4 linked regions of the Lonchura striata genome follow. The protein of the gene in region 2 purifies or fractionates together with the protein of the main gene of each other region. This does not show direct contact. Links are inferred from orthologs where the notes say so. Each region holds a gene or a part of one and is shown on either strand. Other genes may lie near its edges. The genes, in order: EIF3L, EIF3B, MTOR and EIF4E.

The links.
Region 1: the proteins of EIF3B (region 2) and EIF3L purify together in Homo sapiens (affinity purification with mass spectrometry; 8 studies listed by BioGRID and IntAct, counting the BioPlex papers as one, with this or other methods). This does not show direct contact. The link is inferred for Lonchura striata from reciprocal best matches to the Homo sapiens genes EIF3B and EIF3L.
Region 3: the proteins of EIF3B (region 2) and MTOR purify together in Homo sapiens (affinity purification with western blotting; 3 studies listed by BioGRID and IntAct, with this or other methods). This does not show direct contact. The link is inferred for Lonchura striata from reciprocal best matches to the Homo sapiens genes EIF3B and MTOR.
Region 4: the proteins of EIF3B (region 2) and EIF4E purify together in Homo sapiens (affinity purification with western blotting; 5 studies listed by BioGRID and IntAct, with this or other methods). This does not show direct contact. The link is inferred for Lonchura striata from reciprocal best matches to the Homo sapiens genes EIF3B and EIF4E.

The regions. Positions count from the first base shown.
Region 1 is NC_134607.1:23,541,933-23,548,791, forward strand, and holds the start of EIF3L (eukaryotic translation initiation factor 3 subunit L), read left to right. Parts: upstream 1-3,840; 5' UTR 3,841-3,937; coding exon 3,938-3,970; intron 3,971-4,046; coding exon 4,047-4,095; intron 4,096-4,174; coding exon 4,175-4,385; intron 4,386-4,966; coding exon 4,967-5,046; intron 5,047-5,300; coding exon 5,301-5,362; intron 5,363-6,654; coding exon 6,655-6,724; intron 6,725-6,859. Other genes in the region: ANKRD54 (ankyrin repeat domain-containing protein 54), read right to left, coding at 3,021-3,068, 3,419-3,659. UniProt on the Homo sapiens protein: Component of the eukaryotic translation initiation factor 3 (eIF-3) complex, which is required for several steps in the initiation of protein synthesis.
Region 2 is NC_134618.1:13,450,323-13,457,431, reverse strand, and holds the start of EIF3B (eukaryotic translation initiation factor 3 subunit B), read right to left. Parts: upstream 3,003-7,109; 5' UTR 2,863-3,002; coding exon 2,475-2,862; intron 1-2,474.
Region 3 is NC_134626.1:5,764,185-5,771,824, forward strand, and holds the start of MTOR (serine/threonine-protein kinase mTOR), read left to right. Parts: upstream 1-4,626; 5' UTR 4,627-4,710; intron 4,711-5,741; 5' UTR 5,742-5,785; coding exon 5,786-5,905; intron 5,906-6,289; coding exon 6,290-6,398; intron 6,399-7,640. Other genes in the region: UBIAD1 (ubiA prenyltransferase domain-containing protein 1), read right to left, coding at 470-957, 2,818-3,340. UniProt on the Homo sapiens protein: Serine/threonine protein kinase which is a central regulator of cellular metabolism, growth and survival in response to hormones, growth factors, nutrients, energy and stress signals.
Region 4 is NC_134606.1:49,886,356-49,893,452, forward strand, and holds the start of EIF4E (eukaryotic translation initiation factor 4E), read left to right. Parts: upstream 1-4,087; 5' UTR 4,088-4,274; coding exon 4,275-4,415; intron 4,416-7,097. UniProt on the Homo sapiens protein: Acts in the cytoplasm to initiate and regulate protein synthesis and is required in the nucleus for export of a subset of mRNAs from the nucleus to the cytoplasm which promotes processes such as RNA capping, processing and splicing.

The sequences.
Region 1 (6,859 bases), on a different chromosome or scaffold from region 2:
CTGCATTCTTTCATCTCCCTGTTGGAAATGATATAACTTTTTAATAATTTTAGTTAGTGATTTTAATTAACTTTTAAATTAATAGCTCTAGTAAATCATAATCTATATATACAATTATAAACAGTGTGTGATTCTTAAATTATTCTTAGCCAGTATTTAGCAAAGCTGTCATAATGTACTTTTGTAGGAACATAGCTTGGGGAAACTACTGGAACTTTAACTTTTGATAAACTAACTCTGACATGCTTCAATGAACAAAACCTGAGAAAGATGTATGGTTGAGGTTGGACATCTAGAATGTAGAATTTATGGACCACAAGGACTGTGCAGAAACCAGAAGATAAATAAGGGACTAACAAAGACTTTCCAACTCAGTGTATGTGTTGGAAAGTCCCTACCAGAGGAGAAAGATACTAAAAAGACTAAAAATATAGACCAGCTAGCATGAGAAGCAAGAAATCAATACCCCACAGAGGACACCGTACTAATTAATAGAAGAGAATTATGCAATTTACAACCAATGAACATTCATTTATTTGTTTGCTAAAAAATATAAATAAGTGAAGAAGTTTTATATCTGAGTCTGAGTGGAGGTCAGAATTTTGTGAGCCACAAAAATCCCTCCTGGCCAGCAACAACGTAACATCTTACGCACTAACACTATAAAGAAAATGTTAGAGGGGTTTATTTACCCCAACAATTTAGAAGGATTTAGTAACAATTTACTGGTGACCCAGGTGAGACAACGCATTTGATGTTCCACAGACTTACAGGAACAAGGACTTTGGTGCACACTGAAAGACTTTTTTCAGGGAAAATGTTCAATCCTCTGATCCAGGCAAGTTCAAGGCAAAAAATCCTGGGAGTTTATTAAGACATTACTGAAGGTTTAAAAAGGTATACCTAATCATAAGCTTGCACTCTCTAACATAATAAGAGTTAAGAAAGTTATGATATATAATTGGCTATTTTCTATTAAAGTTAGTGTAAAACTCTGTAAGTGAATATTAATGGAATTGTGTTTGAGTCCCACTGTCTAGTTGGAAAACTCTAATTGTAAAACTATATAAGTGACAGTCAAAAGGTGTTGAGTCTTCACCCTCTGCTTTGCCCATAAATTAGTCAGACAGTGCTGCTTGCATGAAGAGCCACGTTGTGGAAGGGCTTTGCCCAGATATGTCTGCTTATTGAAGCCTATGGTATCTGTTAGTGTTGGAAAATGTGTGTGTTAACGTGTGTCATAAGCATAAATTGAGTCTGTATGAAAACTCATTGGCTGTAAGAGTGTTTAAGCCATTGTATGTTGACTGTGAATTTTAGTGTACTTGGTGTGTACTAAGTGTTTGGTTTTGGGTAATGTAAATTGTTAAAGCGAGGGTCCTTTGCTCAGAGCCCTCTCCTGGCGTTAGAACAGCGGCTGCTCCTCCTAGCTGACTGGGGTTATGTTGGTGTGCACAGAGCGCTCTCTCGTGTCGTGTTTTTGTCATTGCTGGAATTTCTATTTACTGTGGGCTTTCCTTTTTCTTCTCGAGCCCGGGAAGAGGGGTATACGCAAATGTTTGCCTTTAGGTTGCATTTTGCAGCACTGGAAAGAATTTAAAAGCAATTCTTTAACTGGTAATAGCATAATGTATTCTCTGGTGGCTAGAGTATCTATTAGATAATCAAGGAAAATGGTCAGTTCATGGTATTTGACACCAAAATGGTATTTTAGAGTTGATATTATATTGCCAAAAGAAAGAGAAATGGAACAACATAGTACCTCAAGCAGTGATGAGAGAAGCAGGAAAAGATAAACACAGAGAAACACACTGGGGAGCAGAAGCTATGAGAGACAACTTGAAACATCAAGCAATTAGTGTAAAAATACCAGGAATTAAAAGTGTAGTCAGTAAGTGTATATGTTTGCAACACAATCCACAGCCCTACAAAAGACCTCCTTTAGGGATTATAAAAAGAGAAAACTGTCCTGGAGTTTATAGGCAAACAGATTTTTCTGAATTACCTCGACAAGAAGGATATTGATACATATTGGTTTTAGCTGACACATTTTTTGGATAGCTACTTGCACCAACAAAGCAAGAGAAGTTACCAAGATATTGTTAAAAGAGATAATACCCCGATTTAGAATTTCATTCGGAATTAATGATCTATGATATCTTATAACAAAATACAAGCAAATTTTTTGCATCTTGATGTCTTAAGTTTTGCTAGATATTCAACAATTTAAGTGCAAGTAATCATAAAGGAAAATTAAGATCACTTCCAAAGGGGGAAATTTTTGGAAATGTCAGAACTTTTTAGTAATTTTAGCTAATGTTTTTAATTACCTTTTAATTAGATTGTTTAGTCATAATCAATAAATATTAATTCATTATAAATTGTGTGTTATTCTTTTATTACTCTTAGCCAGCATCTAGCAAAGTTGTCATTAAGTTCATTTTGTAGGAGCACAGATTGCAAAATTTACTAAGACTTTAAGTTTTGATAAACTAACTCTGATATGCTTCAATTAACAAAGCCTGAGAGACAAAGATGTAGTGTTGAGGTTGGACATCTGGAAAGCAGAATTTATGGATCACAAGGGAATTTTGCAGAAACTAGGAGAGTCCAGCTCTGGCCCTGGTTCTAATCTACTGGGTCACACTGCCTCATCATACAGTGTATGGCTTAGGTAATCATAACTTTTTCACCTAAATCAAAACATTATTCTCTTGCTGCTAACAACTGGGCAAAAGAACATACCAAAACAGCTGGGACAGTACAGCGTTGATTTAGGCCCAGGCAGATGGAAAACTAACACTATGAACCAGGTGCAATGAAAAAGTGAAAACAATAACCAGCCACACTCTGCTTGGAGAACAAACCTGGATTTTAAAAAAGCCTTTTCTACATCTGAAGCATCTAAAGCACCCTGACCACAAACTATCTGCATCCACTTCCTCCTCTCCTGGAGTAAGAGCCTTTGAGATAATGCCCTTCCAAGAAGAGGTCCCAAGTGGGACTGACAGAAGCCTTACCTGTGTCCAAATCGTTGCTATTGGCAGCTTCACGCAGCCTTTTCAGAGCTATGGAGGAAAGAAAGCAATTACTGGAAAGTACAGAGGGAAAAGGCACGTTTCCCTACAGACACGTTCCACCCCGGTGTTCGAGCACACGCGGGGGGCCAAATCAGGCTGCTACCGGCTCCAGAGAATGGGAAGCAGATCAGGACAGCAGGATATAGAATGGTTCTCCTGTCTCCTGCCGAAGCGGGCTGCGGGCCCGCCCGCTCCCGACGGGCGCCTTCCCCCGGCAGGGACGGGCACGGAACAGAGCCGCCCGCCCTCCCTTCCCTCCCTGCCTGCCGCGGCCCGAGCGGGGCGGGCCGCAGAGCGGCTGTTCGGCCGCGGGACAGCGGCTCCCCGCCGCCGCTCACCGTGCGCCTCCTTGCCCGTCGGGCCCAGCCGCCGGTGGAGGCGGGCGGCCCTGCGCAGGCGGCGGGCCGGGATCTTGCCCGCGGGCTCCTCCCGCTGCCACAGGACGTGCAGGTAACCGAGGGGTGCGTCCGCTCCGAGCGGCGGCAGCGCGATGCGCGGCTGCGGCTGTGCCTCCGAGTCCGGCCCCGGCTCCGAGTCCGGCCCCGCGGCGGGCGCCCCGCCAGCCCCGCCGCCCTCCATCCCGTCACGGCCGGGCCGGCAGGGGCGGGACGCCACCGGCGGCACAGCCCGCGGTGCAGCCAATGGGCAGGGAGCGGGCGGGGAGGCGCGGCGGGCAGGGGCCAGAGAGCCTGACGGGCAGCTGCCTTCCCCAGTCAGACAGAGAGGGGCGGCCGGCCCGCCCGGGTGAAGACAGGCACTTGCTGTGGCCAGTAGAAGGGCTCCGCTCGGCCCTTCGCCCCGCCCCCGCGCCAGGCCCGCGTTTCCGCCCGCAGCGCTGTCCGCGCCGCGCCGCCGCCATGGCCTACCCGGGGGAGGACTACGACACCGAGGTGCGGGCCGCGGGCCTGGGGGGCGCGGGGCTCGGGGCCGGGTTCGCGGGGACTCACTGCCGCCCTCTCCCCACAGGCTGCCTACGACCCCTACGCCTACTCCAACGACTATGACATGCACACGGGTGAGTGTGAGCGCCCCGCGCCTGCCTGCGCCCCGGCCGGGCCGTGCGGCGCTGCCTCACTGCTCCTCCTTCTCCGCAGGAGACCCCAAGCAAGACCTGGCCTACGAGCGCCAGTACGAACAGCAGACCTACCAGGTGATCCCCGAAGTGATCAAAAACTTCATTCAGTATTTTCACAAGACGGTGTCAGATCTCATTGACCAGAAGGTGTATGAGCTCCAGGCCAGCCGCGTTTCCAGTGATGTTATTGACCAGAAGGTGTACGAGATCCAGGACATTTATGAGAACAGGTACTTCCAACAGATGGAAATCACTGTTTTAACTTGTGATGCTGTTAAAAGGGAAGGCTGCTACCTGTGCTGTTCCGAACTTGGGCTTTCTCTGAAACGGGTTTTGTTTGGTAACTGTGAAAAAAAATTCGTTGGTATTACCAGCCCATTAGGCCAATGTGAGTATAGACGAGTTGTGATTTGTCTGAAGGGAAGTGTCAGCCCTGGCCTAACAGGGAGGGAGGCTGCAAAGAGGGCTCTCAGTGGTGTTAGTCTGGCAGTTTGCAAAAACCTGAGGTACAGCTTTTGTGTCTCTTCCAAACGGTTGCTTCCACTCCTGCTTGTAGCTGGGGCAGCTTGACTTAAAGGGAGTGTGGAAGTGACGTACATGTCTGTTTCATGCCTGGGAGATAAATTGCAATCTTACTGCTCAGCTTGTGATTCTCATGGTATGCTTCAACATTGGATTTACTAGCAGGGGTTGGTGGTGCTGCTCAGCTTTCATCAAGTCCAAGGCCTCTCTCTGTTGTCATCTCTGACTCCAGCACTGTCATACTGAGTGAAACGTGGATTTTCATACCTCATGTGTGTCTGTTTTTCAGCTGGACAAAACTGACAGAAAGGTTTTTTAAGAACACTCCATGGCCAGAGGCTGAGGCCATTGCTCCTCAGGTTGGAAATGGTGAGTCTTTCCACTTTCTGTTGGGTTGTCAGAGAGAGAAGGAACTGAATTTCTCCTGACCCTGAGTTATCAGGTGCACAGCGTTGTTGCTGCCTGAGTCGGTCGCCTTTGTTCACTCTGGCAGCTCTTTCAGCAGATGCCTGGCAAGAAGTCAGACTTGAGTGAAGCGTCTTTTTGTGCTTCCTTTCGTTGTTCTGGCAGAAGGCTTCTAGGCCTTGTGGCTTGCTAATGTCCTCTTATGTTGTCTTTTCCAGATGCAGTTTTCCTGATCCTATACAAGGAGCTGTACTACAGGCACATCTACGCCAAAGTCAGCGTGAGTGTTGGCCCTGTGTCTTCTTGTGGGCTGCTTGCTGGCTTCTCTGTGCCAGCAAACTTGACAAGTCTTGCTGCCCTACAGTATCAGTGGTCCCCTAACCTTTGCAAGGCAGGATTGGATGGGTTCATGAGCTGTAAGTCACACTGATTTTAGGGAAGATTAAAATTTTTGCTTTTGGTAGTTTAGTAAGGATTCACTGACTGCTGAAAAGCAAGAAAGACTTGATTGTCTGTTTGAGGCTCATTAGCTGTCTCTTCAGGCTTGGTGGTGATGAGTGTGCTGGTTTCTGTGGTAGCTCAGATGAATCAGGAGACTGGATCTGAGTGTTCAGGAGGCTCTTTGTTTCTAACAGCAAATGTAATGGTTAGTGAGTTAGGGAATAAGGGGGTGTTGGAAGGTAACTGAATTTTCCTTTTTTTTTGCTTATGTGTGTTTCTTTGTTTTTCCTCTTCAAATGAGCAGGCAGTGAGAAGGGGTGTCACAAGAGGAAGGTGCATTATTTGTCATAAAAATCCTCATATGGGATCAGAGTGCCTTATGAAAAGGGAAACATGGATACCATGAAGGATGGAGAAGAAGGAAATGAAAAGAATAGTGCTCTGTGAAACGAAACAAACTTTGTCTTTTTTAAGCCTATTTCTAAGTCTCTTTAATCAATGAGAAAGTCATAGTACTTGGTTCTTAAAGGAAAAAGTCTCAACAGATGCATGACTTTTGGGTAAATAAGTAATAACTGCAGTTTTATTGTAGACCAGAGGGTGGAGAAATGGACACTTTTAAAAGCCTGCTGTGTGCCCAAGCCAAACTTCAGCAGGAGAAACTGGTTTCTCAAGCTGTGCCATTAGTGGTTTTCAGACTCAGTGTCTCCAGCTGAAACAAGAACCAGTAGGTCAAGTGTCTAGGAATTATGTCCAGAAACAGAATTGTTCATCTATTAAGGCTTCTCATGAGCAGAGAAGGAAGGAAAGCTGGTGAAGGAATAGTGAAGTTCTTGAATCTGAACAGCAGAGGGGAGCAGGGAAGGTTAATGCAGAATATTCACAGGATGTTTGACTGCTTGATATCCTGGGAGAATCTGCCTATACAGGAAAAGCCATCCCTATTTTGTGGGACAGCAGTGCTACAATTACAGGTTTTCTGGGCGATGCTGGTGGGTGTCCTGGTTGAATACTGGCTCTAGCACTCCTGAACCAGACCCTCTACTGTTGTGACTGTCCTTATGCTGTTGCCCATGAACTCCCTCCTGCCCTGCTTGATTTGAAGCAGACTCTGCTGACTTCTCTTTGCAGGGGGGGCCCACGCTGGAGCAGAGATTTGAGTCTTATTACAATTACTGCAATCTCTTCAACTACATTCTCAGTGAGTTGCTGCAATTAATTTCTGGTTTGTGAGTTTTGGAGAGAAAGATCAGATGGAGAGGACAGAGCTGGACAAAGGGTCAGAAGAACAGCAACATGTTTCTTTATAAGTAATAGAGGGAAAGATATAAGCTCT
Region 2 (7,109 bases):
TGTAATTAAGAATCACACTCTAGCTAAACCTTTAATTAAGCACAAAAATGAAGGTCTAAGGTAAGACACTGAAAGCCCTATTTAATCTTTGTGAAGACAAGCACACATCTTTTCACACTGAATATTCTTCTAACATATTAATACCTGAATATTTGCAGAAAGCTTTAAGATTAAGTGAAGAGCACTATAAAGTACAAGACTACAGAGAAAATAAGTTCACACCACCATACTTTTGAATTAGATAATATTTGGAGTCAGACTATGTACAGCATGCATAGACTAAGAAATAAAATTCCAAACACATGTAGAAAAACTTAAAATATGAGAACAAACTAAAAAATGTTTTGTATATGCTTATATTTCAAAGACATTAAATTTTTGTTGGTTTTGTAATTCAATAAATTTTTCTGCCCAGAAACATCACTGGAAGGATCTCCAGCAATGAGGAAAAATGAGAAACATGCTTACTTTGAATTTCAAACTACTAAAAATTTGCTTTGTACAACTTCAAGCTTCAACAGATTATTCCACATGAAGCTTCCCATTGATCTGGAGCAACATAAATCACAAATATCTACCCCATTACCACCAAGGCTATGTAGCATCCACAGAATGTTGTTTGCAATATTTATCACTCAAAAATATCATCTGCATGTGCATGCAGGAACTACAAATAACGATATAAAATACATAAAATGAAAGCATGTCCTACAAAGACATTTCCATAGGAGTCTACTAGCAAAAGGAGAAAACCAAAGTAAAACACAAAAGGGTAATTAAGGCTCCTTTAGGCATTTTTTTCATAGCCACTTCTCAAAAAAGACTTTGTAGGCCAAGGAACGCACGTTTAGATTCCTGAGTAGGAACACCATGTATAGAACCAAAACTGTAACAGACTGAAGACAAATTCCCACACCGTGCCCTTAAATTCCAAATAGTGAACAAAGGAATCTTCAAAGAGCAAGAAGCTGGTTCAGCCAGCTCCTGCTGCAGCCAGGAGGGAAGCAGGGTGTGGTGGGTGCAGGGCTATCTCCAGCTGGCAGCACTTTAAGGACCACTGCCATTATCTGAACTGAAGCTTCACTGGTACCCAAGTGTCTGTCCAACACATCCCTTCTGCTTTAACTCGGATCAGCTGCTCTTCCATGCCAGCAGCTGGGAAAAGAAGAGGCAGGAAAGGATCTGAGATGTTCCAGTCCTACAGCTGGTCCATCCCACAGGTACTCCTGAGCATCTGTGTTAGCACAGCATTGAAAGAGCCTTGGCTTGGTCACACTGGGCTGCTCTTCTCCTTGGGGAGGCACCAGAAAAATGGGAAAGGAATAAGGAAGCTCAACTAGCAACACACACAGATGGAAAGCCAGATCAACAAGAGTGACTAAACTTAATCCCTGTAATTCAGCCACTAACACTGGATTTCAGGCAGCTGAGAAGTTCACCCAAATTAATTAACAAAATAGGTGGGGGTGGAAAATATGCCCAGTTTCTAAGAAGGAACTGAACATAACAATCCCACATATACACAAAGTGTATTAAGCAGGCACTTAACAGAAAGAATCCAACTCCAAGGCAATGTTGCCAAAGTCTCTTTAAGAAACAAAAGTTCAAACAGCTGCCATACAGACTGCTAAACTGAGAACAGCAAACACTTCCTTAATCTAGGATATTTGGCTGCTGTTTTAGTAAACTAAACCAAGGACTGGAGCACAAGAATGCACCTGTATTCCACTGCCAGTTGAGATAACTGGCTGATTTACAGTTCTGTGCTTTAGAAGCATCTTTCCACTTTTGATACATGTAACAGACCCTAAAGACCCTAAAATAGCACAAATGCTGAATAAATAATGGGGAAAAAATACGTTTGCTATTCAAAAACTAAGAATATTTATCTGGAAAGACCCATCTGAAAAACACTAAATTAAGAGTTCTCACTTCTGTATGACAAGCCCATGTATAAACATTTATTGTCTGTGCAGATACACAACAGTTTGGCAATATTAAGGCAGTCAACAGCCAGTACTTTTATAAAAGTCTGGGCCGACATTTTTAGCTGCCAGAAACGACTTTCCCCTATTTTCTTATCACAAAGCACTTACATCACATCTTTGCGAGCAGTAACTCGTCTCAAATCCTATTTACCTACTGATTTCATTCTGGGCTCATGAAAAAAAAAAGAAGAACGATGAAACACAGTTTGTAACCACATCGACCATTTAAAAAATCTGTTTCTACAGCTGAGTTTAACCAGTGGAGCAAAAAGGCAAGGCAGCTGGAGACTGCGCTCAGGGGGCAGCCCACACCTGAGGTGTACAGCGGCTCAGAACCGCTTCAACAGCAGCTTTTAGAGCAGCGGGGCTGTGCGGTGCAGAGAGAACTCAAAAAGGGACGATTTGAGAAGCACAGCTCGGATGCGGAGGCGCAGGGCTCGGGGCCCAGCGCTCCCCGGCTCCCCACGGGCTCCCCCCGTCCCGCACCTTCGTCGCTGATGTCGTCCACGAAGTCCTCGGGGTCGCTGAAGGAGATCTCATCCTCGGGCTCGGCCGGGGCTGCGGGCGCGGCCTCCCCGTCCTGCTGCGCCGCGCCGGGCTCGGCCCCGGCCGCGGGCTCGGGCTCGGGCTGGGGCTCGGCCTGCGCGGGGCTCTGCCGGCCGGACGGCGGCCGCGGCTGCTCGGGCTCCTCGGGCGGCCCCTGGGACTCGCCTCCTCCTTCCCGCTCCTCATCCTCCTTCTCCTCCGGCTCCGGCTCCGGCTCCTGCGGCGGCTCCGCGGGCGGCGCGGGCGCGTCCGTGAGCTCGGGCTGCTCGGCGGGGCCCAGCGCGCCGGGCGGCGCGGCGGCCGCGGGGCTCTCCTCGGTGTCCTGCATGGGGCGGTGCCGGGTGTGGGTGCGGTGCCCGGTGCCGGGTGTGTGTGCGGTGCCGGGTGTGGGTGCGGTGCCCGGTGCCCGGTGCTCCGGTCCCGGAGCCGTCCGGAGCGCGGCGAGGCGGGGGAGGGGCGGGGCGGCTCCTACGGCCGGGCCATGTGCGCCAGGCCCAGCGGCCCGCGCGCGCCGGCACCTACCAACGCGCGCGCGGCCAGAGGGGGAGCCCCGCCCCAGCCGGCGCCGCCGCCCGCCGCCGCCCGCTCTCCCCGCCGCGCACAGGAGATTCCGGTGCCTTTGCCAGCCCCGCCTCGCTCCGCCAGCGGCGGCGGCTTCGCCTTCTCACCCCACTGCACGCCTGACATCCCTATTTCTGACTGCTGTGGTTGAGCCCAAGATGGCGCCGCCTTCCATTCTACTGGGGTGGGGTCCGGCCGAACCATCTTTTGGGGGGCGCCGTTCCATTTAGCTGCGCTGACGCCCAGTGAAACCTCCTCCCTCAGCACATGTCGTTGCCCATGACTGAGCGGCCGGTGACAGAACAATGCCGCGGTGACAGGGCAGCGCACTGCCACGAACCTCGCCCTACCGCTCCCCCCTACAATCTTTCACTATGGCTTCGCCTGATGGCAGTCGGCGCGCGCGCGGGCACTACCAAGCCGGTGCGGAGGGGGAGGCGCGCGGTGCTTCGCCAGCATCGACGCGGTTGTGCCGGGGCGCGGCGAGGGCGGCGGGTCAGCGCACCCCCCGCGGCGGCGGGGCCATGTGGTACGGCCCGGCGGCAGCGCCACATCAGCCGGGCGGGACGGGGCGCGGGGCTGAGGGCGGCGGCGGAGACCGAGCGCTGCTCTGGCCCCACCTCTCCTCTGTGGGCTTGAAATAACATTTTTCCTGAGGTACAAGGTGACAGTGGCCATGCTGCGGCATCTCTGCCTGCCCCGCGAGAAGCCTTAAAGGTCCGGTGAGCTCCCGGTGCAGCCGGACACACAGGACAGGGATCTGAGGGGTCACGGTGTGCAGTCCTGGCGGCTCAGCGTGATTTTTAAATGGTTTCTGAACTGGTGAAGCTCCCCTATCTTCACGTTGGCTACCAGCATGACTGACCCCAGAGACTTGGCCACACGTTATCGATTAAAGCATCGCATGCTGTCCCGGGCACCTCAGGCTGATGAAGAATACAAAGAATACATAAAGTGTGACTCGTGTCACGATGTGTATTTATATACATATATATGTATATATACATATATATATGTATATATATACATATATATATGTATGTACATATATATGTACATACATATATACATACATATATATGTATGTATATATATATGTACATATATATATACACACACATATATATATATATATATATATCGTATATTCAGTGTGGCTCAAAGAACTTGGAATTTACCTTGAGATGACAATTCTAGAGGAAAAAGTTCTCGAGAATGGTTCCTCTGTACAAACTTGGAGACAAACACTTGCGTTGAGTAGGATTTCTTTTTTTAGCACAATGCTTTCAATTAACTGTCAAAACAGACAATGCCAGCATTAAAAAAAAAAAAAAAAAAAAAAGGCAGAGAAGGTACTGTACATGGCATTTTTAAAATTAGACTTTGTGCTGTGTAATTTTTCAGGGAGGCACACGATGGCATCCAAACTCCACTCCAGTCCCCCGGCTGAGTGTGCCCGTTCCCTGCTGAAGGCAGCTCCGGTGAATGGAAATGATGACTGCCACTTTGCAGCAATTTTTCCCCCTCCTGGTATCGTGGTAGCTGACCAGACCCTGACTTCCAGTCAGCACCAGCACTGACTCTGAAGTGAACAGAAAGTGCTGTTTCCTGCCATCACAACTGTGTGTTTTTCCAAATGTGAGGCAGGACAGGCTGCTGGTCAATCCATGGTCCCTGCTGGGTGCTCAGTATTCCGTGGCTCTTCCAGGGCTGTGTATGAGGTCGGTGTTGCTGTTGTTTCACCGTTCCCACCGTTGTCTGCATTGCTGGAATGTGCAATTTCTGCAATTGCCCTTTTTCCTGTTTGCACTTTTCCAGTCCTTTGGTTAAGCAGTGGATCTAAACATTGGATTCTCCTTTCCCTGACATTGCACAGGCTGCTCTTTGCACTTTCCTCTACTTTTCAGCAACTTTTGATTTATCTGCTCTTCCTTCCTTCTCCTTTTCCTTTCTCTGTTGAAATTTCCCCTCAGTCCCTGTCCTATCTCACTGCTATTCTTTTTTCTTCCAGCCCTTACTCAGCAATCTGAGGGAGAGTAGAACAACTTTTAAAAACAGAGGTTTTGGCACTGGCAGCTGAAGCCTGTTCCTTTAAGTACTCCACATGCAAAACTCCTAATCAATGGGAAATTTGGGGGGAAAAAATGTTGCAGGAAAGGCTTTTTGTAACACAGCTCTCCAACCAGCAGTGCCTCATGAATTTTATTGCGTGCAGGTGATCTGAGAATAGTGGAGCTGACAGCTCTGTTTCCTAAACTGAATTCTGAAGGAGTAAGCAAATTCTTGTATGAAATTTCATCTAATCCTGACAGGACGTGCCCAGAATGACACTCTGTGAGGCAGGGCCTCGGGTAGGGACCTATTTCTGCTTTGCTTTTGTCACCTGGAACCTGCTGGTTCAGCCCCTCTGGTGAGCCCCAGCTGGAGTCGTGCATCCAGCTCTGGGGTCCCAGCACAGGAGGGACAGGGACCTCTTGGAACAGGTCCAGAGGAGGCCAATAAAATGCTCAGAGGGATGGAGCAGCTCTCCTGAAGGAAAGGATGAGATAACTGGGATTGTTCAGCCTGGAGAAGAGAAGGTTTCAGGGTGACCTGACTGTGGCCTTTCAATACCAGAAGCGGCCTGCAAGAAACATGGAGAGAGACTATTTACTAAATTGAAATAGAGTAGGTTTTGATTAGATATTAGGATTATTTAATTAGATATTAGGAAAAAAACTCTACCCTGTGAGGGTGGGGAGCCCCTGGCACAGGGTGCCCAGAGAAGCTGAGGCTGCCCCATCCCTGGGGGTGTCCAAGGCCAGGCTGGATGGGGCTTGGCACAACCCAGGCTAGTGGAAGGTGTCCCTGCCCACAGAATGGGGTTGTAACAAGATGATTTTTAAGGTCCCTTCCTGACATGTGTCCTTTTTTTTCTTTAGTATTTATTGTTTATTCTTAAGGTTTTCCAGAAGCTTTTGCTGCAGTTACAGCAAATACAGAAGTGTTCAATAACTTACATCAAGCAGACTCTTTCTGATCCTGTTGAAAAATTATTTCTGCAATTGAATTATTTTCCACAATATTTTTCTTCAAGACTCCAAGGCAATCTTCAGTTGAGAATATCTTATTTATACCAAATAAATAGTTATGCTATTAGCTTAAGTACAGACCAATCAAAAATCTATAGCTAAATGAGAACATGTTGATTCCTCCATTCATTTTCTCCAAAAATGCCATATAGGCGAAAAATCCTGTGGTGTTCAGAAGTGCTGAGCACGCAGAACTCTGCTCAGCTGCTGCACAAACATGATTTGAAGGGCCTCTCAGCTTAAATAATGTCATGCTTTTTTAATTTTATACACAGCTTTCGTCTGCACCCACGCTCGTGGGGACTGAGCTGAAATAGCACTGAGGGAGGAGGAAAAGGAGAATCACTCGACTCATTCACATCTTTGTAGCAGCGCAAAAACTTCCAAAGGGGAGCACTGTGGTCACAGTTAGCCCTGAAATAATTCTCACTTCATAATTTTCTACTTTAGTTCTCTCCTGTGCACAATGGAGGTGACTAGCTTCCCATGATTAAGAAATATCAGGAATATTAATTAGGGAATGCATCTAGTCCTTTGGACGTTGAAAACATAAAGCATTATTATGGATTGTAACACCTCAATCTGGAAGTCCAAAATCTATAAATTTTTTTCTGTGTCTGACAGTGTTTTTAGGAAAATTGCTGTACAAAACATGCACCTTTTTTTTTACCATGTCAGCTATATCATTCCTGACTAATAAAGTACAGGAAGTGGGAAAAAACTAATAAAATGAGAGGTGCTCATACACGAAGTTCTTGTTTTTATGTAGTTTTGGAAAGTGTATTTGCATTTCAAATGTTCATATTTCTGTGCTTTTCTGAATAGCTTAGTGTTCATTTCTACCAAATTTACCAAAAATCCAGATGCATGCAAAATATAAATAAATACTGAGAATAGGAGACTTGATTAATCACCTGGATGGCGGTAGAAATGCCACGGGAAA
Region 3 (7,640 bases), on a different chromosome or scaffold from region 2:
AATGGCACCTACATTGTGATGCTAAACATTTGGCAGTGTTTTCTGACTCCCATATGGGAGCCACTGGACTCTTTCACCACTATAAGAAAAGAAGTGATAAGAGAAATCATTGTGCTTGTGAAGTGAATGGAGAGTGTGATTTGAGGCTCTATCTTTCATAGAGTGAACTGACAGTGAAAAAATTACATAGCAGAAGGATGAGGTTCTTTAAACATTTCCTTGACCTGTCCCCTTGTTCCTCACATCAAAGCCACACAGTTCTTCTGAAGAACTGATAAATCACTTTTTTGAAAGTATAAGCTGTGTTCTATAAGCTTTCCATGACCAGAAATCATAATTTCACTATCAACAGTGCAAGGTCTTTCCATTCTTCTCACTGTCCATAACGTCCATTTATTCATAAATTCATATTTATTCACTGTTAATTGGCATGAATAGTGAATTATGAGGCTTGACCCTACAGCTCTTTTCACAGTTTGGGCAGAGCACCAGCTGGTGCCAAGGTAATGCCAAAGACATAGAAAAGGCCCAGCAGTAGGTTGAGTTTGGCTGTCCGCTGAGGAATTTTGCAGAAGTTCTGACTCCGGAATTGTCTTTCCAGCGAAAATGCCATGGGGATGGTGAGCAGTGGCAGTGCCATGCTGATGGTATAACGTGTGGCCAGCACACAGAAAATCAGGTAGGGCAAGAAGAGCAGCACAGTGTAGAGGATATAGGAGAAGGTGGGGCCAATGAGGATGGCCAAGGTGACAATGCCCGCCTGCCGGTCCGACTCCATGTCCCGTGTGTTGTTGCTGTGCAGGATGGCCTCAGTGCTGAGGGCCAGAGGGACAGCGTAGAGCAGGGGTGACAGAGACAGGTAACCAACCTGCACTGCGTGGGCAAACATCACAGCCAGGGGCCCAAAGGTGATCAGGATCACCACGTCGCCAAGCGCAACGTATTTAAATCCAATTCCTGTGGCAAGACACAAGGATAAAGTCAAGCATCATTAAATAATTCAAATGACAGAAGAGCATGGATGACATAACAGTTCCCATAGGAATATTCCTATTCCTGAAACGTAAATTTTAAGGAATTTAGGGATTTTAAAGGAGCTAAGATTTTAGTTAGAGATAAGCCTTACTAGAATTAATTAAAATAAATGAGTAGGCCGTGATGAAGTTAAGAGTTAGGAGTTAACTAATAATTGATTGCTTGTCAGCACAATGTTTAGTTATCTGGGTTTATAATGAAGAATACACAAACTGACAAATAGCTTTTAGGAACATAAGACAATTGTGGCCTCCTCTGTTCTGAAACCAATTGAAGACAAGGAATGGGAGTTCTACCAAGAGTTCATTTGTGATATTGGCATTGAAAAGGTAGAAAGGTCAGAACGAGGAAGACTTCATTTACTTCCTCATTTTGGGACCCCTCCCCATGAAAGGGACACCGACCCATTTCAAGGAACAAACCATGCATGCTGAATGGCTTTTGAAGTGATTAGCATACAAAGCAGGGAATGGGATGTACCAAAATGATGAATATGGATTTGTATTTTGGATATTCAATATTTGTATGGATAAAAAGACTCTGTAATCACCTGGAAGCTGCGGTGTGGATTTGGGAGTGATCCTACACACAATAAACACACATTTTTCAACTTTAAACTGTTAGAGAGTTTTTGTCCATCACAGTTGGATATTGGTACTAGATCAATATCCATATTTTTAAATAAATCATTCCCATATTTCTATATATCCAGCCTTGATGCTGTTGAGGCAGGATAGGAATGAATAGACTTTGTTCAGAAGGCTGCGAGTATAACTCTGATTTATTTATCACTCTTTATATTGGTCCTGAAGTAAAAACATCTCACCTATTGATGTGCAGTGAAAGACATGCAGTACCAAAACCTAACTATAAACAATGTGAACAACAAGAAGATAAAGAACCTTATTTACATTCTTCTCAACAGTTTCTCAGGCTTCTGTCTGGTTAGAAACTTTCCATTTCTCTCTGAGAATACCCACACAGCCTTTCTCATAGGAACATTACAAAACAACCAAAGCACATGCAGCTATGGACAAGAAACACATTATCTCCTTCTTTTTTAAGGTAAGAATTTCTCCAGACAAAAAATGTAAGGGCCAGGTTTTAATGCCCATCTAGAAAGACCTGTCTTTTCAGAAACCTACAGAAATAAGGTATTTTTTTTTCAGTGTGATCATGTATACGAAAACCTGATCCTAAAGAAATATAGAAAATGCTCAGAACAAAATGCAAAAAATGACAAGACAGTTTCAGGGAAACCCGCATAACTGAAATTCTGACAGTTAGAAACTCAGCTGTTTTTTCTTCCCCTACTAATGATGTTTGTATCTGTCTATCCAATACAGGAAGACACTAAAATATCCTTGTCTTATTAAGGAGAATCACACACTGTACAGCATTCATAGTGAAGCTCCATCTAAAGAATAACAACGAAACATTCCAAAACAAAGTAACATTCCCAGCAAAGAAAATATGCCATTAGCAACACTGCTAAAGGATATGAGATAAACTTCACAAAAAGATTCAGCAACAGTTCTGGGAAGCATCTAAAGCCATATTTGTAAACAGTAATGCCTCAACACCACTATCTAAGTGAAGATGTTAGTATGACTCTTCCCACAATATTCAATTGCAAAGAATATAACTTTATGTACCAGTACTTCAGGAAACACCACAAATATTTTATTGCAGTGCACTGTGTCTTCTAGAAGCCTCTTGACAATTCCGCTGATTCTATCACTTCTACAAGCAGATTCACAACTAACGGGATGCAGCACTTACCTCCGGTATAAAGGAAGGAGCTGGAAAGTCCTCCAAAGTAAATCAGGGCCAGGTGCTCCAGCTTGAGCGTCGAGACAGCGTAGAGACCAGCAGCGCAGATACAGCCCACGGTGTAGAGAAAAACTCCAAACCGCACCACATCCTGCGGCTCCAAAATCTGGTCCACCAACGTCCTGTCATCACTCTTCTTATGATCGATGCCTTTGGAAAAGTCATAATAGGTGTTCACCAAGTTGCCGGCCCCGTGCACAGCCAGGACGGTCACGGCGCTCCCTAGCAGCAGCCCCGGGTCCAGCGCTCCCTCGGCGCGGTAGGCCAGCGCGCTGCCCAGCGCCACGGGGGTCAGCGAGGCGCTGAAGCTCCAGGGCCGGAGCGCCAGCACGTAGGCCGCACACTTGTGCCTCCAGCTGCCGGGGGCGGCTCCCTCAACGCCCGCCAACGCCGCACCGCCGCTCTCGCTGCCGCTGCCGCGGGGGCTCTCGGCGCTGATACTGATCTTCTGCACCAGCTCCGCCGGTCCCATGCTCGCCCCGCCGCCTCGCAGCGGCAGCACCTAGAGGGGGAAGGGCCGCTCGTTAGCGGGGCCCGGGCGGAGCGAGGGGCGCCGCCGCCGTCACGGCCGGCGGGAGATGCGCGGGCGCCGCCATTACGTGGCCGCCGGCCTGCGCGGCCTCGCCACCCCCGCGGCCCCGCGCCAAGAGTTCCGCACCTGCCGGCACCTCCCGCTGTCAAATTAAAACGAAAATTTAGCGGCCCGCGGTGTCACGCGAGGCAGCGAGGGGGTCACCCCGCAGCACGCGCCGGCACTACGATTCGTGTCATAGCCGCCACGACACGAAGCCTGGCGCGGACACAGCCGCCCTTGCGCTGTCACGGGCAGCCGGACACATTTCGGCGGAGCACGGCGCGGCAGTGCCCTCCCCGCTCCCGTCACGCATGCGCAAAGCGCACTCGGGGCTCAGCTTGCGCCGGGATGGAGCTTAAAGCTCCTCTGGTTTCATCCCGCCACGGGCAGGACACCTTCCACTGGCCCAGGCCCCATCCAACACTTCCATGGATGGGGCAGCCACAGCTTCTCTGTGCCACGACCTCCCCAAACATTTTCCTAACATCTAAACTGAATTTCCTCTCTTTTAGTCTGAACCTGTTCGCCCTTGTTCCTGGTTAAGAGTCCCTCCTTGTATGCCCCTCCTGGTACTGAAAGGCTGCTCCGAGATCTGCACACAGCCTTCTCTTCTTCCACAAGAGCACCGCACAGCTCGGTGTCACTTGCTGAGGGTGCCTCAATCCCATTGTCCATGTCGCCGACAAAGTTGGTGAATACTATCAGCCCCAGCACCACCCCTGAGGGACGCCACTCGTCCCTGGTCTCGATGTGGACAATGAACCGCTGACCGCAACTCTTTACGAGCGTCTATCCAGCTAGTTCTTTATCCAACGAGTGGTCTATCCATCAAATCCACGTCTCTCCAGTTCAGAGACCGGGATGTCATGCGGAACGGTGCCAAAGGCTTCACACAAGCTCGAGCAGGCGATGATAGTTACCTACCCATGCTGCAGCCCGGCCATAGCCGGCACCTCACGGAAGGGCGGAAGCCGGCGTCGGGAAGGCGGGCCTACTGGGTAAACCCAGCCATTCTATTGGTCAGCTTTACTGCCACTCAGTCTCTACTGCCTTGATGATTGGTCGAAAGGCGGCTGTCCTTGCGGTTCTTTGGGTCAGGGGCGGAGATTTGAGCGCGTTTTCCCCGTTTCTCTTTTCCTATTGGTCAGACGAGATGCCGATCAAGGCATTCCTGGGCGCCTATTGGCCAGCGGCGGCTCGCCGGCGCTGCGGGCGCGGCGGCGGGGCAGGCACGGGCCTGGGGCCCGGAGTAGGGGAGGCGGCGGCGGGTGAGTGAGTGAGAGCGGCGGTGCCTGTCATCATCATCGGCTCCCCTTCCCCTCAGCTCCCGCTTCCCGCCCGCCCCGACCTGCCCGAGCCCCCGGCCGCGCGGCGCTGCCGCCCTGCGGCCCCGCCGGCCGTGCTCGCCTCGCCCCGCCTCACCCTCCCTCACGCTCGGCCTGCGGCGCTCCCCCAGCCCCGGCTCGGGCCCGCCGCGTTCTGTGGCCCTGAGGGAGTGCCAGGCACCGGCTCCGGGCTGGGTTGATGTCAGTATCCACCCCCCGCGCTGCTCTTTGATGCGGAGCCTCTCCTGGGCTCCTGCCAGCAGCCGCCTCACCTGTGGTCCCGCTGGATGTCTGCGAGCGCGTGTGGAATATTTGGGGAGTTCTGGTGTTAGTGCTTGGCTTGGTTTTATGTAATCTGAATATGGGGGGGCGTCAAGCGTCTGAAATGTTTTTGACATAAAGAAAGGCTCCCGAGAAAGTTTGTTTATGTGTCATGCTAGGAAACCCCCTGTTGCAATGATTGGTGTTGCTATAACTGGACCTCCCATCTCTAAATATCTGTTGGAGAATGTAACACTTGCCAGTGCTGAGTCTTCCTTGTGTTGGTGTAACACTGAGATTTCTGTGAAGAAACTTGGATGAAAGTGTTCAGGGAGGAGTCAGATATGATCGTGATATAATCCTTGGAATGGTTGTGCTTACTTATTATTGGTAATTGCAAACCCTGGTTTTACCCTGCTGTTTTTCAACTGTTGCATTACTCTTGATTTAAGATTAGATCACCCTAGAGGACCTGGCCTACTGTAATGTATTTTGGTATTTGAGGAACTAGAGAGCAAATAGGCTGGGTGTCATGATACGTGGTGATACAGTTTTATCATGGAGTGTAATGCCTAAGGAATATAGTCATTACTTGTAATTTTATGGTCTACACAGCATCTTTATGGGTATTTTGGGAACAGTCAGGAGGGAAGGCCTTACGAGAGAAGCTTGGAGATTTCAATTCAAGCAGTAAAAAATGTGTCTCTCTGAAGAATTTACAGGACTTGATGCCCCTGAGCCCCAGCACACTACCACCATGTCGGGCACTGTGTCCATTCTCCAGCAATTTGCCAATGGCTTGAAGAGTCGCAGCGAGGAGACGAGGGCGAAAGCTGCCAAGGACCTGCAGCATTATGTCACCATGGAGCTGCGTGAGGTGAGTGCTACAAATGGGATTATTTATCTTTGTGCATCATCTGAGTGTAGATTATTGGGCTGGGTGCCTTGGGAATGGAGGTTTTTGGAATATGGAAGCTGGTCTCAGGGAAGAAATGGGGCACAGTGGAGAGCTTGTCTTTGCTCCCTGGCATGTAGGAGAGGTGAGCAAGTTGGTGACACAAACGGGTAGTCAAATACCAGAATAAATAAATTTGCTGCATATAGGTCACAAATAAGAGAAACTTTTTTTGAGCTTGTAATGTATGGTTGATTTAATGTCTTTCTGTTTAAGTGGCATATGAAGCACTGTCTTTTTGGAGGTTTTGGAGCAGGAGGGACGAAGAGAATGCTGAAAGCTGATTTGAACTTTTTGCTTTTACAGATGAGTCAGGAAGAATCTACCAGGTTTTACGATCAGCTGAACCATCACATATTTGAGCTGGTCTCTAGCTCTGATGCAAATGAAAGGAAGGGTGGCATTCTGGCTATAGGTAAGTGAAAGTGCATAATGCCTCTGCTGAGTTTTCTTTTCATGCAACTATCTTTAGGGACACATTTCAAAAGGAATGAGCTTTTATGGTCGGGGTCTGATGTCTGACAGCTCAAGATACTGGATGTGTTCTAGTTGCTGGCTCTGAAAATCTGCCTGAAGTGTCAGCATGGGAGCTACTGAGAGTGGCTGAAAACCTGGTACTTAATGGACTCTCAGCTCTTCTGGGAGTTGAGCATCAAATGTGAATGCTGAGCTCATGAAAATTCTGTTCTGGAGCTCAGCTGAGAACACTTTGTACTGCCCCTTTATATGTTTCAGGCTAGGCTGACTTTCTCAACTCTCTTCCATCTGGAAAGATTGATTCTTGTTATTTAAATTTACCTGGCTCTATAACAGTAACTTGCATCCCCAAGAGGGGCTCACATAGCTTCTGCTGTGATTGTGATCAGCCTCTCCATTAGTGGCTCTGGCTGTGTGCTCTCTGTGAGATTGCAGAGCTGCCTGAATCCCCACTCTATGGGAAGTCAGCTTGCATAAATACTTTGCCTTCCAGGCAAAGAGCCTGTATTGTAGCTGTTACTCCTTAAATAGCCAAAGAGATGTTTATGGTTTAGGCTCACAGACATAATCATCCAATCCCAATGTGTTTGAAGGCAGTGTAAATCCCTTAGAGAAATCTTTATTGATAACATCAGGTCTTAAGCTTACAGTATCACATTCAAATTGCTTTGTGAATTTAATGATGTTGAAAGCTGCCAGCTTGACAACCCTGATAGCCTCTTTATCTATAAAACAAGTGCAACCCAGGCACTGGCAACAAAAGCTTCTGCCATGCTGGTGTCTGAGGAATTGCCTCCACCCTGACCAGGAGAGACTGTCTCTAGGGCTGAGGAGGAGAGCATTTCCTTGGTCTCTTCAGTCTTTGACCTCTCTTGTGAGGTGGACTAGCTATAGTAGTTGCATGCAGATGTATGTCTTTCTATTAGGAACAGGTCTATGATCACAGGGTGAATTACTTTTTTTTCTCTTCTAAAACTAAAAATGGGGAAAATCTATGAGGCTACCAGATGCATTTTTCCACTCACTTGAAAACTTCAGGCTCAAAAGAATGGTGGCCTTTTCCTGTGCTTGATTTTTTTTTTTTTTCACCCTGTGGATTTTTAGTTTAGAGGGACTTAATAGGAATCTTTAAGGAATGTGTAGGGAATACTAGCTGTCATCCAGGGATTTTCTGCTGTCT
Region 4 (7,097 bases), on a different chromosome or scaffold from region 2:
TTTCTGTCAGGCTTTTCACATCCCTTTCTGGCTGCCTGTCCCCCTGTGTTACAGACCAACGCACAGAGAGGGGCGTGAGTCACATATTTTATAGCCCATTCATGATGCTTGATTTGTGTCCACTGCTGTCCTCCCAACTCCTCCAAAGTGATGCAAGGCTGGGAGTATGTGAGGGCAGCAAAGAGGGCAAAAGGGGAGGTCAGCCATGTCTCATGGGTCAGAGAGCAGCCGCAGAAAAGCGAGAGCAGCTGGCAGCTGAGACAGCTGCTGCTTAGGGAGAAAATGGCCACTGAATTTGACATTACTTAATTAAGAGAGCACCTTAGCATGGGTCCCCCCTCCTTGCTTTGCTTCTCTACATTGCAGCAGTGGGGGCTGGGCAGTCTCCCTTTCCCAATGAAGCTCTTGGTAGCTGTCTCCTGTTCAGGCTCATCGAAGACACAATTAAATGCCTCTTTGTCTAGGGAGGGCTGAAACAATGCAAAAATGCCACCCAGGAGCCAGACCACATGCAAATGTGCCCTGCTGTGGCTTGTCCAGATGGTACAGGCACTTAGTGAGTTTCTCATACCAAATGCAACAGTTATGTAGGTTGTGCATGTCTGTCTGCCAAAAACAGAAATCGCAAACCCATCACAAGCACCTCAAAGATGGCCACAAAAGCACTACCTCAAAAAGTGAATGGAAAACAGCCCTATAGGAAGCATTACCCAGAGGAAAAGACAAACCTGTGCTCAAAGCAAAATACTAAGAGCATAGGGGGGAAAATCATTGTAAACATCTTTTGTGTATGAACAGAGTTGCACTAAAGAAATACATGCCTCCATTTTTTTCTCTTTAAGGAAAAATCATGCGGGATTTCAAGTTCTGTCCAATTCTCTGAAGTCAAAAGAGGTTGCAATGTATTTTAAGCCCCTGCATCACTTTTATCCCCTCCATTGGTACAGATACAAACTAAACTACTGAAAGGCCCACTCCAGCCACAATCCAGGCTGGAGCAGCCTTACTCAAAGCTAATTCCAAGCAAGCTTTAGTTGTGGTGAAAAGGAAGATCCTGCATTCTTTTGTTTTGTTTTGATTTGATTGTTCAAGTTTATGCCTCTTGCAGAGTCTGTATTTAATACAGGGTATCAAATTTGCACTGTGATGTAAGAATGGCTCTCTGTGCATTCAAGAACACTCTTCTGGTATCCAAAAATTTTAGCAATTTCCAATGTATGGATATGAAACTGATTGTTTTATCATGGGACAAGATCAAAGGGAAACAAGCTGCATTTTTGTAAAAAAAAAAAAAAAAAAAAAAAGGTGTTTTTATAAAAAGCATTCCTATTTAACCAGTAAGTTGCAAGCCTTAAAGGGAAAAACTCTACTGCTGGAAATATTTGAAAGAATCCACGAATATGTCTGGAGATTAGAACAATTTTATTCGTTGCTACAGAAAAAGTAGAAGTCATGGAGTGAAGTTCTGGCCCAAAGAATTAAACTGAATTCAACAGGAATGTTATTGATATCCAAAGAGATTTAGTTTAGTTTGTGTCATCAAAGGGCCATAAAATAGACTTAACAGTAGTAAAATAAAATCAGTGTTTTATTTCCACTTTAGATACCATGGACAATACTGTGTGACATTAAAAATTATTTTTATTTTCAGGTTTCAAAATTAAATTTAGATTATCAGCTTTTTAATCACATACAACAGTATTCAAAAGTATTATTTCATTCAAATCACTGAGATATAAGTGTGCAGATCAATTCGAGCTCATACCTACACACCTCTGACTTGGAGATGCACATTGGAGATGTTCCCAGCACTAGCTAGATTCACACTGGAAACTGATAAATCCCTGAAGGACTGCTGAAGACGAGATACTCAGCATTTCTTTACTTCAGCCCCTTCTTTGCTCCACTATGACTTCAAAAGGTGGGATTTTCTGGCTATATCTGTGATACCTCTTTGCCTTCCATCTTAAATCACCTTTTAGTTTGAAGATTATACCACTTGCAAGGCAGCCACATCACTTCTGAGCATCTGGTCTACTATGTGTGTTATATCGTATCTTTGCTACTGTAAGTTGTTGGATAACTTCTGATATAATCTTTAGAGGCTTTTTGCCTCCAAAACTCAACAAATCAAAGGAAAGCATATCCCAAACCACAACACGTGCTTGCTTCCCATTTGTGTGGCAATGAGGTAGGCCATGTTCTGAGCTCAGCTGTGCTATATTCACCTAGCTAATTAAGAACTGTTAAAAAGCATAGCTGACTTATAGAGGGCTTCATGCTGTTCTCCTTGCCTTGCATGAGAGAAATGAAATAGCCAAATGCTATATGACATTCAATACAATTTGGTGGTTAATACGCACTTATAGATCTTCTCAGTAAAATGATGTTCAAGGCTGTAAAATGTGTGTCTGTACACTTTGCTGTTTGAGAATAAAAATACAAAGTTAAACACAGAAAAAGATGAAAATAAACTATCAGGGAAGAAGATGATTTTGGATTGATTATTTATGTTAAGAACCTTAAAAGCAGGATTAGAACAGGTAGTCAAAGAATGTACATGTCTGCCAAGCAAGTAAAGTGGAATATAAGATCCATATGGCAGCATAGTAGGCAAATAAATAGGAAGATTTATTAATTACTGTTTTGCATCAAACCGTCTATAAAGAATTACCAGAAATCAAATTTTGCAGAATAGGTAAAATGAACTATATCTATATCCATATCTATAGATATAGATATATATGCTGGGAAAAAAGAACAAACAAAAAAAAAACAACAACACAAAAAAAAAAAAAAAAACAGTAAAAAAACCCCTGCTTCTTCATGTACTTTCTGAATGTACAAATTTCAGAGATTATGTTCTTGTTTTGCCATCATAATGTGATTTAAAATTATACCGTTTAGGAAGAAATATTTTGTTTTTCAATTTCTGTTTTGTCACTGGGATAAAGATATGCCCCAGTTCTTTTACTTTGAAAACTGTTACGGTATTTGTTTCATCAAGAAGCATTACAAAAGGGTAAGAACTTACTTATATATTTATTGTGTTTTTCTTTATTGAACCCTTTGCCTTTGGTAAGTACTAATGAAATCACAGCACTGAAATGAATCCCACGGCTGGGATTCATTATTTGGTTTAACAGGCTGCCCCGGGGAGTGGTGGAATCGCCGTTCCGGACAATGTTCAGAAATATGTGTGGATGTGATGTTTATGGACATGGTTTCGAGCTGGGCTTTGAAGTGCTGGGTTAACACTTGGACTCAATGTTCTTAAAGCTCTTTTCCAATCTAAATATTCTCTGATTTTGTTCCGGGGACAGGGGGCACAGAGCGCTGTGCCGGGGGCACGGGGGGGCTCTGGCGCCTGCGGCCGCGCCGTGCGCTCAGAGCGGCGGGCGCGCGCTGCTGCTCCCACAGCGGCCGCCAGAGGGCGCCCCCGCGCCGGCCCGCCTCTTCCTGCCCGGGCGGCAATAGGGGGTTCCCGGCGGTCCCCGCGCTGGGTGACTACATCTCCCGGCTGGCAGCGCGCCCCCAACGGCCGCCGGGCGCTCGTGACCAATCGCGTGCGGCCCGGGGCCTTTACCCGCCCCGCCCCGCCCCGCCCCGCGGTGCGTCCGCGATCCGAGCGCTCTAAGATGGCGGCGGTGGAGCCGGTGAGTGCCGCGTTCACTTCTCCCGCCCGCCTTTACCTTGCCTTCCTCCTACGGCATCCTTATCTTCTTCCTCCTCGTCGAGGCGCCGCTCCGCCGGCCGCGGCGGGCGGGGGCGCGGTGGGGGCCCGGCCGGGCGGTCGGGCAGGAGTCGGCTGGCCGGGGAGGCCGGCGAGGAGCGCACGCTCGCAGGGGCCGGGGAGGGGGCGGCGGGCGCCGTGGCTGTGCCGGCACCGCCGCCCGAGCGCGGCGGCCGCGGCTCCGGTGGGGTCCGGCGGCAGCGCGGCCCGCGGTCCGGCGGCGCCCATTGTGCGGCGCCCCGCCCGCGGCCCCGGCGGCCGCCCGGCGCATGTGGCGCGGTGGGGGTGGCCATGTTGGTTCCCGCCGCCGCGGCGGGCCGGGCGGCGAGGGGCGGCTCCTCCGGCCGTGAGGAAGGGCCGCGTTCCCGGCACGCCGGGCCCCGGAGAGGCGCCGCGGGGAGCGAGCGCGGGCCGGCAAGGCACAGATGCGCTGCTGGGGCAGCCGCCGCCACAGCCCGGTGGTGAGAGTCAGCAAACCAATCGCTTTTCCCAGGTTGTGTCGTCTTTTATTCGAGAGGATTTTTTTTTTTCCAGATCTTTCATGATATTCATGATAATTCAGTACTTCTTTTTGTTTTTTCCAGGTGATAAGTTATGTTCATGGTATATTATGCTCGGTCTTAACAAACGTAGCCCCAGCCTGCACTTCCATAATGAGCTGGAGCAGCTGGAAGTGATCCAAGTACAGTTGTTATTCTAATCCCACATGATTGTGTATCATGAGGAGAGGACAGCCGACGACTCTGTTAGGGTTTCAAGAAAACACAGTTAAGGAGGGCTGGTCTCTTGTTGCTGTGCTCGCCAGCTTTGAATAAATAGCCAGTGTGCTGTTTGGGGAGGCTTTGTATCATTTAGACAAAGTGAAAAAAGTTTGAAATCAGTGGTTTTAAATAAAAACTAATTTTGCCATTTTTGATTTTTCGCTTAATGGTTTTCTTGTGTGAAACAAACCTCAGATTTTTATCCATGAGGAAGAGATTGAAGTGGGTTAGCATTTATAAATTGTGTGGCAGCAGTTCTGTACAAGGAGAGTGTCAGTTATTAAGACTGCAAGACAGACCACCAGCAGCACCCTTCCGGTGTTCTTCAGCCAGTGTTAAACACTTGTTTTCACATCCCGGAGCCAGTCTTTGAGTTGTTGCCCACTTATCTGAAGATGAGGGCTTCCTCTCGGTGCAGTGCCTTGTGGTGACTGTGAAGCTTAGTAGGAATTGTGATAAATAACTTGTAATACAGCCATTAGAAAATGAAATTACTCTAAAGGCCTGCACCTTGCGGCTTTCTTAGCTGTGCTGCTCGCACAAAAACTGTCTTTACACCATTTTCTCCACTAACTCCATCAGCACATTGGGGTAGATCCTGGCCTAATGTAGCAGAAAGTAAACGATTGCTTTTGCCGTGCTGTGTCCCAGCAAGATTGATTGCTCAGATCCAGTTCAGTATGAGCAGTTGTGCTGAGCCCCTAAAAGTAGAAGATGGAGCAAAACTCACAACAATTTAAGTAATTAATGCGGTTATTGAATGTTTTGCTGTAGGTGCAGTATGTTCGCATTCAGGAGTCAGCTACCAACCAACTGTGCGTGCTTATTTTCAAATTGCAGTAAATAACAAAGTCTTTGTTATTGTCCTTGTAAGTGGCTCCCTTCTCTCGCCTAAGCCTAAAGTTAGGCGTGTGTAGTGACTGAGGTCAGAGGTGTTGCAGAAATACTGCGTGCTTTGTAGCTGAACAATTTAATTGCATGTGTGGTCAGGGACTACCTCTGGATCACAGGGAGGCCTTTCTGTTGCTCACCTGCAAAATCTGGACCTTGGTTTGTAGAGATGTCATCTGTAATGCTTTCCTGGTAGGAGAATGAAATGAAAATACAACTGAGTAAGGGTTGGTTTTGGTTTTATGAATACAGGCTTCTACTAAGATCAGTGGTGTTTCTTGTACTGTCATAGTTTCAAAAGTAGCATACATTGAAAGTCTTAAGAGGCTGGGAAAATGTTTGACTTAAATACAGAAACTTAAGTTGAGAATTCTGTAGTGAGTCCCATAATAGTTGTCAAAAAAGCAAAATTATTCTGTATAAATACAGACCAATTGCACAGTGGTTTACTTCTCTGCTGCAGGGAGAACTTAAACCTTTGCAACACTGACAAGTAAAAATTCTGTTTTTCTTGTGATATCTAGGTTTTTCTTTTAAAAATATTCTAGATTAATTTTTGAGACTATGCAGAAGTATCACCTGTTAGAGTGCTGTTATAAGCACTGTTAGAGTGCTTATATAGCCTTTGAGGATTAAATGTGATCAGAGAACACCATGCAAAAGTCCATGACAAAACGAGGAGTAATGCTTTAGTAAACAATTTACCAAAGGTGACTTTAAAATGTACCTGCACAAAGCCTGTAACTTCTAGGTGCATATAAATCTAATCCCTCATTGTGCAAATTGGAAATGGCATCATGGCTCTTTTGCGTTTTTGATTAATGGCAGTTATAATTACAATTCTTGTGAATTTAACTCTATTTTTTAGCATACAACAGTGACATTTCAGTTATCTGTAATTTGAAAAGCACTTGTTTGAGAAGGTAATCATACATAGGTGAGAATCAAAACTTTATTTAAATGAAACTACTATCTCAAGGGGTTACAAACATAGTGGTGCAGGACCTTAAAATGCTGGAAAGCTCATAATAGCTCCTAAAATTCCATGTAGGCTGAAAGGTACTTATTTTGCATTATCTGTAGACAGGTAGCATGTAATTTTAATTCAACTTCAGACTTGCTCTTGTTGCTAGGTGTTTCTGCTGTAGAAGTCAGTGACCTGATCTGCTTGAAGTTAGTATAGCATTGAACTGCAGTATTGTGAACACAGTTGCTTGCTCATTGCATTTTTCTGAAATGATGCAGAATAGATGTACCTTTCATGCTGTTTTATAATTGAGAATATTTATCATAAGCTTTTGAATTGTAAATAACATATCTGAGTTATTATGGAGCTTCCTCTAAGAGGGGTATGTTGCACAACTTATTTCAAAGACATGCATAAAAATGGCATATGAAATCAAGGTGTGTTTCATTTACTGATGCTGTCTGCAGGTATGGAGGTACATGCAAAATTTTTTGATGAAAAATATCCCTTTTGGCAGCTTTGTAAAGATTAGTTTGAATTTTGAGGTGATAGAGTGGAGCATTAAATCAGGGATGTTGGTAGAGTGCCTCCATTGTGAAAGAGAAACGCAAACTTTAAATGTGAATTAATGTGACTTTTTCTTCGGATAAATTGTCTTTCAGTTTTGAACTATTCTGTAATCGAGGTTAAACTTGAGTTTAGAAGCTGTTTATTTTCTTGCAGTAGTCTTCGTTTCTTGACGTTT